Linked DNA regions of Danio rerio. The protein of the gene in region 1 interacts with the protein of each later gene in a pairwise test. Links are inferred from orthologs where the notes say so. Each region holds a gene or a part of one and is shown on either strand. Other genes may lie near its edges.

Region 1 (8,435 bases):
TACTCTATTATTATTCCCTCCAGAACTGTCTTGAGCATCAGTCTGTGCTCCCAAAGAGCGTCTCACACCTCCAAAAGCACCACATTGCGTTCATTGTGTTTTGTATTCATCTTCTGAGGCGCAACTCATTTATTAGAGAAGAAAATACACCACAGTGGCTTCTGCAAACACTCTCAACTACATTTCCCAGACTCATATTTGCTGCAGTTTATCAGCAAGTGATGATTTTCTTCTCTCGTGTTTCTCATTGGATGGAATCACTGTTTTATTCGCAAATCTTTCATGCGATATTAAAGTTTCATGCATACATTTAATTTGCATCTTTGGATGTAAACACAGCTATACGCTTATTTCACGCGGCCGCCATTTTAAAGAACCAAAGCGAGGCTGCGGTGGGAAGAAACCCGGAAGTATAGGACCAGCACTGTAAACATTGCAGTAACATGCCGTGTACTATAAACCTCCAGCTGTTGCCGAGATTTCAAAATGCAGAAATGATGTAACCATCACTTTAATATTATTCAGTAAGTTTATTTTAAACAATTAAAAGCAATTTAGCATCAAACAACATCACAATCTCAGTGATGTGCTTAAGTGTCCTCCTGGGCTTCAGTTCATGGCACCAGTTAAAACACTGTGAGGTTTCCTGCTTCAGTCTATGTAACCCGGTGAGCGATAAAACACTGCAGTCCTCTGCAGCACCTCCTCGTGCTGTCTGTAATAGTGTTGTCCTGGGGTCCGTTCTTCGTACCTCGCTTAAATGATCTAAGATTATTTGGCAGATCCTGGATCTTTTAATCTTGATAACTGATCTCTCGCTAATTTGGTTCTTCAAACAAGTTTGCGAATCAGATTAGAATGTCTGGATAAACTGATCTGAGATCGCTGCGTGTGTTGTGAAGGACAGATCTATCGATCCTCGAAATCATGATCAGCAATGCAACGATTGGCTGACGGCACAGCAGCGTAATGACATCATCTGATTAATATTCAATTATCCATGTGAGCAAAATTACATCAAATTAGCAGTAAACGGCTTGTTAAATATGACACGCGATAACCTTCCACATTTGTTGTGAGCTGCAGGCCTTACACTTTCATGTGTCAAGAGTATTCATCATGTATTTTAATGCATATCAATGTATTTAATTCGACATTTAGAAAAGATTTTCTTTATTATAGTAGTTGTTTTTTTTAATCGGTGTAAAGAATAACGTGTTGTTTACAAAAGCATTTTGATATTGGTAAAGGCGTCTGCAACTTTTGTGACGCATCAAATCACTGGCATATTAACTATCAAAGCATGTTTATGACTGCATAAATGTATTATTGCTTTAAAAAAAGTGACATATTGCATTTCTATTATACACAATTTGTACTAAAGCGATCTAAAAAGTTCATATCAATAAGTTTTCTCTTTGCACCACCAGGTGGCAGTCTATGTACTTTCATTTCGGGGTGCAGATTGCATAAGTTTTATTAATATATTTAACTTTATTTATTTTATTAATAACTATAACTTTATATATATAGTTAAAAATATGTACCATTTTCCCAAGTGTATATAACTACTACTGTAAGAAAATATCAGAATTCAGAACATACTTTCTGTATTATCTTTGCTTGAACTGAGCCGATCTAATCCTGTTTATATGAATTGAACCTGCTCCCGATCAAGTTTAAGCTAGCAGAACTGTTGCTATGACAACAACTCTCGGATCAGCTTTGAAGAACGAAACGATCCTGGATCTTGTCAAATCGTCAATATCCAAATCCAGCTAACTGAATAATCCACGTACGAAGAACGGACCCCAGGTACTGAAGTTTTAAACCCGGCTATTTCCCGCTTACTGCTCTTCACCCAGTGCAAACACAGATACACGGAGACTAAAGCGCGAAGCAGCCTTGCCTTGAAGTTTAGTCGAATCAACAAGCAGATCGCTCCAATCCTCTGTCTGTGTTGTGTCTGTGCTCGGTAAACAGTGGTGAACTGATGATCTCTCGGCCAATCACAATCATTTCTGTTGAACACTTGACCACAATGGCAAATCAGCACTGTTTTAAGAAAGCCATCAACAGTGCCTTTATGTTCGCGGGAAATTTATGTTTTTTTCTTTTATTCAGTATCGTAATAAGTCTAATATAATGAAAGAATCAGTTTATTAACTCGAGTTTGATAAATAGCATCTAAAACGTGTGTTTGGGAAAGAAAACATTAGCTAACTAGTGCCATTTCCCTTAACTTAGCTGAAAATGACCTCTGATATCCCTTATTATATTCACCTCCGGGTCACCCGGAAGGCGGTGAAATGATAAAATTGTGTCACTTTCTCTTCGCTGATAAGCTATATAGCCAGTTACACAACATTCCTATGTAACTCCCAATGATACTTCCCGGTTTCTTCCCACCACAGCCTCGATTTCACTTTTGAAAATGGCGGCCGCGTGAAATCAGTCTACAGACAGGATTTGATTTAACAGTGAATAAAGCCCATAATCAGTACCTGAGGTTGTCACTCTCGCAGTAGTTTATGCGGTTGTTGTGTCGCAACTTCACAGAAATAATAATCGTTTCTAAAATAAAACTTTTGTGCATCACCGTTGCAGACGAATGACAAACACTTCTTGTGGCATGGAAAATATTTCTTCAATCATGTGTCGCGGCATTGTGTGGCTGGAAATGTTTGGCCAAACACACACTCACCACTTTGAAGGCTCGAGCAGGAGCTGGTAATGAGCTGGTCTCGGCCAAGTATTTCTCCCAGGAGAAGTTGTTCGCATCGGGGTATCCTACAGCACAGATCACACACACATTCAGGAGCTGGTGGAGATGAATTTATTAAATATGCACTCTTCATTTCTGTCAATTCAAATAATTATGATGGTATATCTCACTGGTTATTAAGGTCCATTGTTAAGCTGGACATTGACACAAAGTTCACAATTCAATACAGTTCACAAGATTTGATCCATTTTTGATCTCGATTTTCGAAGGTTGCGTCTGAAATCACCCACAACTCAGTGGGTTCTGCATTTGAATGTAAATGCACTACTCGGCTGCTACAAAAGTACATTCTACACTGGATGAATGTCAGTTGTATGAATTGAGCTCGGACGTTCTACATCCAGCATTTTAACATGATCACGTGACCAGTTGCATCACTTCACTCCCATTCATGAATTCTTTCATGGTGCATCATGGAATAGAGTGCACCCGATGCGCCGGAAGCAGTAGGTCATACAGGAACTTCTCAGATACTGTTTTTCCAATTCTATGAATCCAGACATACTACTCGGCTCACATACTGTTTCAGCATACTATATAGTATGGGTATGGGCGAGGCAGTGGCGCAGTAGGTAGTGCTGTCGCCTCACAGCAAGAAGGTCATTGGGTTGCTGGTTCGAACCTCAGCTCAGTTGGCGTTTCTGTGAGGAGTTTGCATGTTCTCCCTGCCTTCGCGTGGGTTTCCCCCACAGTCCAAACACATGCGGTACAGGTCAATTGGGTAGGCTATGTTAGTCTGTAGTGTATGAGTGTGTGTGTGAATGTGTGTGTGGATGTTTCCCAGAGATGGGTTGCGGCTGGAAGGGCATCCGCTGTGTAAAAACTTGCTGGATAAGTTGGTGGTCCATTCCGCTGTGGCGACCCCGGATTAATAAAGGGAAAAACTAATAAGCCGACAAGAAAATGAATGAATGAATGAATGAATATAGTATGGAAGTGTGCGATGTTGGACGCAGCTAACCTCTTAAATACACACTCTTCAGTTCTGTCTGTTCGAATTAATTATGATTCACAAAATTTGATTCAATAATAAGTCATATCAGGTACCGTACATGTATTTTACTCACATACACACACGAAAAATACGGCATACAGTTGAAGTGAGAATTATTAGCCCCCGTGTTTATTTTTTTCCCCAATTTCTGTTCAACGGAGAGCAGATTTTGTCAACACATTTCTAATCATAATAGTTTTAATAACTCATCTCTAATAACTGATTTATTTGATCTTTGCCATGATGACAGCACATAATATTTGACTGGATATTCTTCAAGACACTTCTATACAGCTTAAAGTGACATCTAGGGCTCTATTTTGAAAGTCCATGCACAAAGTCCAAAGCGCAGGGCGCAAAGGCATTAAGGGCGTGTCCGAATCCACTTTTGCTATTTAAAGTATGGGAAAATCCGCTTTGCGCCATGGCGCATGGTCTAACAGGGTTAAGCTTATTTTCTTAATGAGTTATAGGTGTATTTTATGAGAATGAACCATAGTCTCATCTCCCATCCCCTTTAAAGAGTCAGTTGGGTCGCGGCATAAGCGCATTTGGTATTTACATGGCAGACTTTGTAAACTGAACGCTTCAATGGCGAGAAAACAGTTAAACAGAGCATCTGCAGGGGAGAATAAGAGATGAGCCTCCTCATTATTTACTTTCACATTCACTTTAGTGAATAGGGAAAGGTGTTGTACGCAGACATCCATTAGCCTTTACATAATTAATTTTGTTTGTTAAGCGCAAAGATTAGTTTCAAAACTGTTTCTAAATTCAGTTCTAATTTCCAGCAAATGAATAAATGAACAATAACAACGAAGTGTGTTCAAAAACCTGAGTTATGTCCTAATACACATGCTGAGCCCCATATGGTCTAAAACCTGACAGGTGGACAAATCTAAGCTTGTTTTTTTATTAAAAACAAATATAAATATGCATATAATAAATAATACTGCTAATAATAATAACATTATACAAAAGCAAATTGTCATGAATAAACTGAAAAAGCCGCCTGAGATGAAGAAAGCATGAAGGCAGTGATTTTTATATTTATGTAGGCTAGAAAATAATATGTTTTGTAATATTTTAATCCTTTAACTCTTTTTCATATGTAAAGATATTTGCGTATTGCTGTACATCATGTCTGTATTAAGCAATGTTTAAGAGAGGCGCACAACTAACACGCTCTGCGCTGGACTATAGACCTGCTTTGATCTGGTATATTGTGCAGTCTATTATAGTTCCTTAAAATAGCAACACGCCAGCAATGCATCTAAACACACCTCCTTTATTAGACCGGAACGCCTATGGGCGCACGTATGAGCGCAAATGCATTTGCTATTTAAACAGCGTGGTGCAAAATGTCAAAACGACTCTTGCGCCAAGCTGAAACTAGCAAACAACTATTGCGTTGTGCCTTGTGCCACATTGCGCCGGGTGCATGATAGGGCCCTCAAAGTTAAAAGTTAATTAAAGTTAATTAGGCAAACAGTGGTTTGTCTAAGACAAAACAAATATTGATTAAGGGGACTATTAATATTGACCTTAAAATGTTTTTTTAATAAATTTAAAACTGATAAAAATAAAACTAATAAGACTATCGCCAGAAGAAAAAGTATTATAGGAAATACTGTGAAAAATTCCTGAATCTGTTACACATCTTTTGGGAAATATTTGAAAAAGAAATCAAATGAGGGTAGTATTTTTGACTTTAACTGAATATTAGAGAGCCTGAGACTGGTGTGGATGTGTTTACTGACCTGGAGGGGTGCTGAGGGTCCTGCCGTTCTCCTGACACCAGCCAACTGGGTGAATATAAGGACTGGTGGCATCACACCTGCACAAAAGAAGAAACACACACATGTACCTCAATACAACTAGCAAAACAACAATCAATATCTATGTCATGCAGCATAAAGTAAGGCTTTAAGCATTCTTGATACATGTATTATTAAACACACTGAGCTTTTGACTTATAATTGAAAAATAAAAAAAATAAAAAAATAAATCACAGGACAGCAAATCATTTGAGTGTGATTGTGTGCAGGAAATGTCATTATCACACACTTCAGAGCGTCGTCATGGGGAATTTACCAGTAGTCGTAACTTTCCTCCCAGTTGTCAAAGTGCACCAGGAAGCGGCTGTCCACCATGTCCGTAACCGTGGCGACGCAGATGAAAGTAGGATCTTTCCTGCAGACGGCCTCCAGCTTCATGCCAACCCTGAAACCTGATGGAGTCACCGTCTGGAGGACACACACAAACACACACTATATTAAAGTACATGAAATCTAAAAGCAACCATAATGATTCTGTTAGCTCACACTGCTAGTTTAGTGGTGAACAATTCATCTGTGCATGTCAATAAGAAAGAAAACAACAGATTGCTCTTGGAGTCTTTAATGCACTTCCTGTTTGTTGTTAGTTAAATTCTCAGATTAGGTCTGTCTGAGGTGTTGGGCGGGGCTAACATACATAACCACGCCCCTCCAGCGGTCAGTTTAGACAACACACAGAAATGGTGAACAGGAGGAGTCTGTAAGCTGTAATAACTCTCCCCAAACCCTTTTTCCAGTCTTTCTGAATGAAACGCCTACTTTACTACAGCCAATCAGCTTGCAGTAGAAAAAACAAGCCACACCCACTGTTTACTCATTTTTATATACAGTTTCTCCAGAAACTGCGTCACAGCTTCAGGTTTATGTGGACTTTAACTCTACATACAGTTGAAACCAGCAGTTTACACACACTCTAAAAAAAGGAACATAACCATTTTAAAAGATGTCTGATGGTAAATCATACTAAACGTTTACTATTTTAGATCTGTAAGGATTACCTGAATTATTTACATTTGCTAAATGCCAGAATAATAAGATAATTTTTTCTTTCTGAGAATTTTCTATTAATTTCTAGACAGTCTAAAGTTTACACACATTTCCTTGGTATTTTTTTTAGCTTTGCTTTTAAACTGTATAACTTTGGTCAAATGTTTTGTCTCCTTCCACAAGCTTCTCACAATAGTTTGCTGGAATTTTGGCCCATTCCTCCTGACAGAATTGGTGTAACCGAGTCAGATTTGTAGGTTGTCTTGCTCGCACAAGCTTTTTCAACTCTGCCCACACATTTTCTATAGGATTGTGATCAGGGCTTTGTGATGGCCACTCCAAAACATTCACTCTGTAGTTCTTAAAGCACATATGAACTAATTTGGCAGTATGCTGAGGGTCATGGTCTGTTGGGAAGACTCATTTGTGGTCAAGTTTTAATGTCCTGGCTGATGTCTTGAGATGTTGCTTCAGTATTTCTCCATAATGTTCTTTCTTCATGATGCCATCTATGCTGTGAAGTGGACCAGTCCCTCCTGCAGCAAAACAGCCCCACAACATGATGCTGCCGCCCCCATACTTCACAGTTGGGATGGTGTTTCTAGGCTTGTTGATTTCCCCTTTGTCCTCCAAATGTAACACTGCTCATTATGCCCAAACAGTTCAATCTTAGCTCCATCAGAGCACAGGACATGTCTCCAAACATGAGTCTATTCCCAGTGTAATTCAGCAAATTGTAATCCGGCTTTTGTGTTGATTCTGGCTTGTTGATTCTCCATGTTGTCACACAAGGAAGCAGTGTGTTTGAGCTTTTCCTTCAATACTATTCTACAGCTGTGCCTCACATGAACTCAAATGTTGTCAATTAGCAAATCAGAAACGTCCAAAACCCTGACATCATCATCTGAGCTTTTCCAGAGGCAGAATAATCTGATTGCTATAAACTTGACTTTCAACAAGAGTTATAACAATTTCTCAAACAATCTCTCTCTCATTATTCTGCTATTAAGCAGAACAGACACAAATGTGATCATCCTTACTTACCTAAAAGAGAAAAACTCTAGTCACATTAAACATCTGACTTTTTTAAATGGTTATGTGCCTTTTTATCCAGTGTATGTAAACCTTTGCGTACAACTGTATAACTAATGGGAAAAACATCCAAAGATCGGTTCTTGCACAGTGGATAAAGGAAATGGCTGATAATCTCACTCTTGAAAAATGAACATGTGTAATCAGAGAAAAAATAAGTGTGGTCCTTTTTGGTCACTTCATAAAAGGATAAATAAAAACTGGATGTCTTTGGAAAGATGTTTGCAATTTAAAATTCAATGCAATAATGTGTTTTTTATTATTATTATTGTTACCAATTATTTAATTAAGTTATTATACACACACATGCACACACGCACATTAGTCAATTTATTTTTGTATATAATATTGTATTTTAGAAAATATTTGTCGTTCTATAACTTATTTTAAATGGTATTTCTGTTTAATAAATGTTGGGTTTTAAAGGAAACATTCAGTTGCGCTGGCATCTCTGTGCTGTAGCTGTTAAATCACAAAGGGTTTAGCTTAAGGCACGTGTGTGTTTATGTCTTGCTGAAGTGAAATGAAGTTAAATGAATTAAATGAAGAGAAACAGCGCCATCTGCAGACACACACACGCACACACGCACACACACACACACACACACACACACACACACACACACACACACACACACACACACACACACACACACACACACACACACACACACACACACACACACACACACACACACACACTTCTGTGGTTTCCGCACTCACCATGTTCTGGTTGTGA
Region 2 (8,977 bases), on another chromosome or scaffold:
ACTAATAAGCTGATCATTCCATAAAGACAGACATCTCAGAGGTTACGTCTTTGAGAGAGGAAAAAAATAGAAACGTTTTACACACAAAAACAGTCAGTGCACTGTTAAGCAATGCATAAAATTAAATAACCAATCCACATACATCGTAATATACAAAACAAGGCTATAAAGTAGGTACTGCTATATATAAATTAACATGTAAAACATAACATACCAGCAGTTTCAATATCTGTGACAGTTCTACACACTTTAAAATACTTGGCCTGAAACATTGAAATGTAGAAACATCTCTCGTATATAAAGAGAGCAGCATTTCTACAAAGCTATTGAATTTATAATGATAGCAGCAAAAAGGTTATCATCGCTTTTAATGTTTTCTATAGCTCATAATTATGGCAACAGATATTCTTATCTTAGATAAGAGCATGTATGTTCTTAACTTATAGCTTAAGGTTATAGAATAAGCCATCTAATATGATTTACTATTTTTAAAAAATATTGTTCAGAAAGATTGCTAACCGAACCCAGTGATAAACTACATTTTGACATAAAAATCTCTATTTTTAACACCCAGTGGAGCAAATCATTTAGCATAAACAATTTTTGACTATCTACACTTCTAAATAAGTGAATAAATCTTCCAGTTACTATGATATAACAGTCACTTTATGTTAAGTAACAGTCTACGCAAGTCTTTCATAAGTAAGCCTCGGGAGTAGACTGCTTTGAATATAATCCCATACAATGGAAATGTAAACTTATGACATGGCACAGCTTCATAAATTAACAGTCTAAAAAATTCCAAAAGCTATTTCGGATGTAACAGTTCTCGTCATTTACTTTCATCGCCAGAAGTTCTGATAATGGTTGAAGAATGTGGCAGGCAAAATTTCACACGGACATATAAATGGCATTAAAACAGGGCTACTGATTGCTTATTGACTTTGTCTTTATCATTCAGACCATACTGCCAAATACTATAGTTGATAATTTACTGAACTTACAGTAAACGTAACCTAGCACAGCGCAGGCGTGGATTATAGAATGAATTAAATGTAATTTAGGGTTAAAGTGAAGTTGTAGTGGCTTTAAATGCCTTCAAAATAAAACAATCCCTTCAAGATGACCAAGCTTACATGTGCATAGTCAAACCTCTGTTTTACGCTCACATGAAACATCAATACATCAAGACAGTCATTTAAGATAGCTTGAAGAAATACATTTAGTCATTACTATATGTACTTAGTCATTACTATATATACAAAGCAAACTTTGCTTTTGAAGTTTCAACCATTAACCATCTATATCCTGGACTTACTTCAACCTCCTAGGCTTCGTTATCCCTAACCACCTTCTTAGTCCTTAATCTGACCAAGTTACCAAAGTTAGGATTATAGAATGAGCCAAAACACAACTCATTTGAATAGATTTTCCCTTCAGCGGTCCGAGCCCCTCACTCTTTAAAAACATTTTTTGAGAAGTTACATCTGGTGACCTCAATAGCAATAAGATGTTCCAGAGTGAATCTCACATCTACTTCCTGCTCAGTTGGACTTGTGTTCACCATTTTTGGCCCAGCCTCGAGTCATGGCTGACACCACAATGCTGTACATGGTGAGCCAGGCCTGGCGCAGAGATGTTGTGTAGGCTGGTCCCAAACTGGACTGTAGCATATAGAGCAAGGACTCTCCAACCAACTGATGAAAACGTGAAAGAATCAAATCAATCACCTGATAGTCTGAAAATTCACTGTGACACAACTGTCAATCTCATTGTCATCTTTGACATTTGAGAGTTACAGCTGCAATATGCAATTTCCATCATCACAGATGACTAGCTAATGATGACTGGAACTTGCAAGCAAAGTGTACTCACAGCGAAGGACTGCGTATTCACTCCAACTGCTTGGTGCTTCCTTCCCAGGTTCAACAAGAAGTCCTCCAGTGTGTGTAGGTCATCAAGATGGCTCACAGCTGCATCAATCACTAACATCACCTGGACAGATATACAACCACTTGAGCTGAGATGAACATATTTATCTGGGATTGCACTTGGGCCAAAGTTAGTCAAGTAAAAGAAACTTATTTGACTACACTAGAGGGGTTATTTCCTGGAAAATCATCTTCCTGTAGAGGTGCCCAATCCTGTTCCTGGAGATCTACCTTCCCACAGAGTTCAGTTGCAACATTGATCAAACACACCTGTCTTTAATTACCAAGTGCTCCTTCAGATCCAACTTAGTTGGTTTAATTTTGTTTGATCAGATTTGGAGCTAAACTCTGCAGGAAGGCACTGTAGGTCTCCAGGAGAAGGATTGGGCACGCCTGTTGTAGAGCAAGGCTGTCAAACTTACTTACAGAGGGGTTACAGTGCTGATATATTCAGCTTGTTCCATAGTTAAATCCGTGTGATCCAGCAATTTAAGTCCTTCAGGAGGAAGGTATACCTCCTTTAAGAAGTATTTTTGCTTTAACCTTCAACCAAATCCATTAAGACATTTGCTTGTGCTAGTATGACTTGAGTAATCCTATGAAATCAGATTCTGTTCCAGGTTTGTTGAGCTCTGCAGAAAGGGTTTCTCCACTTAGGAGAGGTATGAGACACACTTGTCCTAAAAAAAAACTATGTCACTGTCTAGCAGAAGTAGGTATGTTTGGTCCTAGAGCAGGCGTGACCAAGCCTGTTCCTTGCGATCGACCTTCCTGCAGATTTCAGTTGCAACCCATATCAAACACACCTGCCTGTAATTATCAAGTGCTGTTCAGGTCCTAATTAATTGGTTCAGGTGTGTTTGATCAGGGTTTAAGCTGAACTTTGCAGGAAGGTCGATCTCCAGGAGCAGGGTTGATCACCACTGTCCTAGAGAAACACAGCCCTGTAGAGTTCCAGACAATCTTAATTAACCACACCTGAACAAGCTAATAAAGCAAGCAGGTGAGTTTTTATATTTAAGTTGGATCTAAACGCAACAGGAGTGTAACATTGTGGTACTGTACATTTACATAACTCTGCTCTATGGCAGCAGTTCGCAATCCTGGTCTTTGCAATAACACTCTCTGCACATTTTGCAGGTTTCTCTTGTTCAACAAACGTTATTTAGCTCATTAGAAGAGAGCTCTATGAAGAAATTGTGTTCCAATTGACGTTCTACATAGTTTTCCCTGCTCTAGCCCCCTGGCCCCTGCTCACAGGAAACTGGCTGATGTTTTCTACATTTAAAAACAAAGATTTGCACAACAGTGTTTGCAGCATCTTCAGATGAACTCATTAGTGTTAAGGGTAGTTAGTGTAACTGTAATTATTAGTCATTTCCTAAGAACTTTAATACCTTTGAATTAAAAATTCTTCTTTTAATCTGGAATCAAAAATATCCTGCAAAAAACATGTGATGTCCTCCACTTTTTAGGGCAATAACTATTGTCCTCCACTTTTCAGGGCAATAACTATTGTCCTCCACTTTCCAGGGCAATAACTAACATTTGAACTACAATGGAATATTTTGGGTTACCCAAAGAACCTTTCGTTTTGTTTTTTCTTAGTCTAAGGACCATTTTAATAATATGAAAAACCTTTTTACACTAAAGTATAGAATAATTTAGGCATGACACTTGCCCCTGAGCACTGAACCATCAACTTACCAATTTGACCCATTTACTCAATTAAATCAAGATTGCTACACCTTATGCTAAATGTTTGGTATGTAATGCTACCTGTTTCCTAATTTTAAGACTGCAAAGAACGATGTGGTCTCTTTGAGACCGGATTTTCTTGGCAACCTTGGAAGGACACAAAACACAGAGGCATCTCTGTGAGAATTAAAATGTGCTGATATTATTGATTGCTGTTGCTCAACAAGTTCTGCAGGTTTTCTCCATGCCTTATATTCATTCATTTATTCATTTTCTTTTCGGCTTAGTCCCTTTATTAATCTAGGGTCGCCACAGCAAAATGAACTGCCAATTTATCCAGCACATGTTTTACGCACCCTTCCAGCTGCAACCCATCTTTGGGAAACATCCATACACACTCATTCACACTCATACACTACGGGCATTTTAGCTAACCCAATTCACCTGTACCACATGTTTTTGGACTGTGGGGGAAACTGGAGCACCTGGAGGAAACCCACGCGAACGCTGGGAGAACAGAAACGCCAACTGACCCAGCCAAGGCTCACACCAGTAACCTTCTTGCTGTGTGGCGACAGCACTACCTACTGGGCCACCGCATCGCCCCATCTCTTATAATAAACTAAATTAGTAGTTCCACAAGGCATCACATTTGTGAGCTTGCAGCAAGAATCTACCCCTGGATTTCTAAATAATTATCTTAAATCAGCATTTAATGCATCCTCCATGCTAAGAACCCATCTAGGTACTGCCATGTATTCTTGATACCTGGTTTCTCTTAGTCATGGGATCTAACTTTTGCAGTAGTTGATAATGTAGAACAAGAAGAACACGAGCAGGCAAGATTTCATTAGAACACATACTGAGAATCGCCCCAAAAGTAGTTACGTTTGACCTCAGGGCTCACCTTGGTGACGTGCTCGAGGAACTCTGGGCTGGAGAGACATTCAGGTGCATCGCCACAATTTGTGCTGTAGCTGAAGAGAGTGAGTAGTGCAGGATCCAGCTCAAATAACCTATCAAGAAATGTTACACAAACCAGTCACAGGCCTGGATCTTGGTTATGGTTATTTCCTGTTTCTATAACATGAAGAAAAACGAAATGGTGCGATATGAGACATTTAGCCTTGAAAAGAACACTGAACTGTGTGCATCCCTTTTCTTCTGTAGCTATCAAGTTTTGAAAGAAAATCCTTTTCATCCTTCCCCGCGAGTTTGAAGAGGAATACTTGGTAGCATCCTTCCTCTGAGAAGGTGATTCTGATGAAAATGCTCTTGCTGCTCCCTGTCGCCAAGCAACAAGTCAAGCCTCTCACTGAGCTGCGGTTAGATGAACAGACAGCGGGAGACTGATAGGGAATGTTTGATGGATTAAAAAAGCTTACGCTGTACTTTGCTTGCCAATTTGCTACACCTTCATGACAAGTAAACTTATTGAGTTATGAAATGCAATGCAATTTGACTGCCTATTACTGTTTGTAATATTTCCTTTATTTGCACGAAATGTCATTGTTTTAAGAATGCATTACTTGTATGAAATTAGAATTTTTGACAAATGTCCCAATCTCAATCAAATCTAATTAATCAAATGCTCTGAAGATGTACACTGCATAACTTTCTGAATAAACACGCAGGCTGATTTGAATGACATTATCCTGAATGCGAAAGAGTTTAACAGTGCATGCAGCGTGATGGATACAGTACCTCGTGAACAAAACGATTCCATGTGGCACCTTGTTCTTCCCCAGACTCTCCCAGCTGTCCCGGATGAGACCCTTATCTTTTTCAGACAGCTTCTCCATTGTGACCCTTAGAATTGCTGTGATCCCAGTTGTCTTTCAATGGTGTCGCTTCAAAATGTTTTCTTCAGTTCAAAGTAGGATCTCCCGAATTCCCATTTCCGGACTTCAGACTTCCAGAGTTCGGGCTTCAGGTTTGACCCCCCTGTGTAGGGCACAAATTTGCAGATATAATTCGGCAAACAAGTCTTATCAGAAGAGCGTGCATCAGAAAGCCTTTTAAATACATTTCATTGACAATTGAAGTCATGCATTCAACATTCAATAGAGAAGAAACCTAACTTAGCTCTGACTTTATACTCACAACAAACAGTGTGAAGCTGACGTACCTTGCCTTCACTGCTCTAGAGGTGACCTTCTTCTCTCACTGGCTTCGTCTGTCTTTCTCTGGCATTAGGATTTCTGTTTGTTCACTGCGAATATGTATATGTCAAGCCTGCAATCCTTGTGTTTGCTCTCTCTCTCTCTCTCTCTCTTTCTTTCTTTGTCTCACTCTCTCTCTCTCTCTCTCTCTCTCTCTTTTCCTCTTTGCTCCCCCCGCTCTCTCACACACACATGCAAACACTCACTTTCTCTCTCTTTATCTCTCCCTCTATCTGCTCCCTCTCCCCGCTCTGCTGCATGCAACCTCATAGATGCTGCTTGATGTGCATTCAAACTAAGATGAAGAAACGTGTTCTGCAACCTTCTGAAAGCAAAAGACGTGCGCATATTTCAGTACACTTTGTCTTTTTTCAATCCACCACATTGAAACTGTCCTAAATGGCTCATATGGACTGTCGATAAGGACAGAATGGAAATATCTCTGATCTCCACTGCTCCTAATGTAGTTCATGTTACGAGCCATAGCTCCTCCTACAGGTGAGAGTCTGGCCTTTAATAAAATTACAACACTTTCAGACACTCCAGATGCATTTATGATTGAAGAGCACATTTGAGGAGAACTAATTTGAAGAAAATATTGTGTACTGGAGTGAAAGATGTTCATTTTCAAACTAACAAGAATTGCATAATGTTTTTGTGAGCAAAATGTGAAATTTTTTTAATTCACTATTCTTGGTGCTTTGAAACAACTCCAATGTTTAAATTAAGATTCAATTTGTCAATAGGAAATAATTATGAAGATTTTTAGGAGCTACAAAAATAAGTAATTTTTTTATTAAATATGGACAAATCCAACTTTAACTCAATGGTTGTGTTTGTGCATATTCTATTAAAAATAACAATGAAACAACCCAGTTTTTTTTTTTTTTTTTTTTTTTTTTTTTACAAAACCATTGGAGCACTGGTGTGTTATGTAACTCAAAGCATTCATTTTGAATGAACCTTCAATAAGACTCTGGAATCTTTTCAGGGAGTGATTCGTTCATCTACCAATTCGCACATTTGTGCAGGTGGTATAGTTCATTTCAAATCTTTTGAGTCGTTCATCGCGGAAAGGCAAAAGCCAATCATATGTGTTTAGAGCCAGAAAAAGAATTGATCCATTCATCTATCGAGTCTTCTATCGGGTCTGAGTCATTAGTTTCTCACAGGCCAATCATATGCATTTAGAGCCAAAAAAAGAATTAATCCGTTCAACTCTCGAGTCCTCGGGATTGAGTCATTCTGTCACGTGATGAACGAACAACTCAAGAACCAGAAGATTCGAAAGGTGAACTAATTATCATGGCTCCTATCGGCTCAGACTGTGCACATTGGTTAAGATTATATGTGACTGTCAGTGTAACGTGAACGAACCACTGACATTTCAAGACATGAAGAGGTGAGCTAAGCAAACAGACAACAATACCTTCATAATAATAATTATTCCCTACATTTATATAGCGCTTTTCTGGCCACTCAAAGCGCTTTACACAATGGGTGGGGGATCTCCTCATCCACCACCAGTGTGCAGCATCCACCTGGATGACGCGACGGCAGCCATTATGTGCCAGACCTGATTGGTGGAGAGGAGGAAAGAGGAGAGAGAGTGATGATATGCCAATGACAGATTTAGCCAGAATGCCGGGGTTAAACCTACTCTTTATCTAAGGACATCCTGGGTTTTTTAATGACCACAGAGAGTCGGGACCTCGGTTTAACGTCTCATCCGAAAGACGGCGCTCACTGAGCAGTACAGAGTACCCGTCACTATACTGGAGCATTAGGATCCACACAGACCACAGGTTTAGCGCCCCCTGCTGGCCTCACTTACACTACTTCCGGCAGCAACCTAGCTTTCCCATGTGGTCTCCCATCCAGGTACTGACTGGGCGCAGCCCTGCTTAGCTTCAGTGGGCGACCATGTGAGAGTTGCCGAGAGCTAGCTGCCGGCATAGACAAAAAAAAATAAATAAAAAAATTTAAAAATAGACAAAAGAGCAGGTAAACATTGAATTATTATTTTCTTCTTCTTACAGTATTCTATTTATGACTTATTTGACGTGTGATCAACGTTTTAGGCTAGTTGTAGATGTGTTTGGAAGCAATTCATAACATTTTAATAATATTTTGGCAAATTGAACCAAATGAACAAAATGACTCGAAAAAAAGATTTGATCATCTCGATAACCGAGACTCAAAGATCCAAGTCAGTAAAATTATCCGAACTTCCCATCACTAATGTCTTGCGAGTGTTTGAGGTCAGTAATTTCTTATGTAAAGAAATTACATTTATATTACGTTAGAATTTTAGGTAACAATTTATAATAACTACACACTATAAATCATTTATTAAGCATTAGCAAATAGTGAATTCATTATTTGTTAACCATTAACATACATTAATAAGTGTTAGTAAGCAGTTTATAACTGCAGCTACAAATGCTCCATTCTTGACTTATTAGCACCTATATAATGTGGTTAATAATTGTATTTTCATACTCTGTTAATGATTTACTTTTCATTACTAAATTAAGTATCGAATTATTTACAAACCGTTTGTATTTAAGAGTAGTTGAGGGTTTTCAGGATCATTCAGAATGAGTTAGTAAATGATTAATACACTATTGAAATCAACATTTATATGTCGTATTATTCAGGCATATACTAATAGTTAACTAATATGTTAATAAATGCTTTATTAACTCAACTTCATGCAGTTTTGTGACCTAATCTAAAATGAGGACTATTGATGCTTTATAAATCCCTTATAAATGACAAATAAAGGCTCAGAATCAAATGAACGATAATCTGTGCAATTTTTCTAAAAAGTAAAATTACAGTATAGTTTAAACAATGCAAAATAACAGGAGTGTCAAAATATGACATCCATCTGGATAAAACAACAACAATGAAATAATTTAACATTATAATAAGATGCAATGTTTAAACTCTACAGTGATTCTATTTTTCATTTGAAGAGCAGTTTTATTTGTGTATCTTTAAATGAATAATGTCTTTTTTTCTTGTTTAGAATTTAACTGAGCCTTTATTTGTTTTATTTCGGCTAGAATAAAAGCAATTTTTATTTTTTTAAACACCATTTAAGGACAAAATTATTAGCCTCTTTAAGCTATTTTTTTTTCTCGATAATCTACAGAACCAACCATCGTTATACAATAACTT

Evidence for each region.
Region 2: the proteins of l3mbtl3 (region 1) and ngb interact in binary tests that used the Homo sapiens proteins (3 or more experiments, as listed by UniProt). The two-hybrid records come from large-scale screens. The link is inferred for Danio rerio from reciprocal best matches to the Homo sapiens genes L3MBTL3 and NGB.

Annotation. Positions count from the first base shown.
Region 1 is NC_133195.1:2,234,260-2,242,694, reverse strand, and holds part of l3mbtl3 (lethal(3)malignant brain tumor-like protein 3), read right to left. Parts: coding exon 8,420-8,435; intron 7,649-8,419; exon of another isoform or gene 6,773-7,648; intron 6,026-6,772; coding exon 5,874-6,025; intron 5,617-5,873; coding exon 5,540-5,616; intron 2,791-5,539; coding exon 2,705-2,790; intron 1-2,704. UniProt on the Homo sapiens protein: Is a negative regulator of Notch target genes expression, required for RBPJ-mediated transcriptional repression. It recruits KDM1A to Notch-responsive elements and promotes KDM1A-mediated H3K4me demethylation.
Region 2 is NC_133192.1:49,949,771-49,958,747, forward strand, and holds the start of ngb (neuroglobin), read right to left. Parts: upstream 5,811-8,977; 5' UTR 5,758-5,810; exon of another isoform or gene 5,733-5,757; intron 5,574-5,732; 5' UTR 5,432-5,573; coding exon 5,334-5,431; intron 4,646-5,333; coding exon 4,537-4,645; intron 1,996-4,536; coding exon 1,876-1,995; intron 1,698-1,875; coding exon 1,545-1,697; 3' UTR 1-1,544. UniProt on the Homo sapiens protein: Monomeric globin with a bis-histidyl six-coordinate heme-iron atom through which it can bind dioxygen, carbon monoxide and nitric oxide.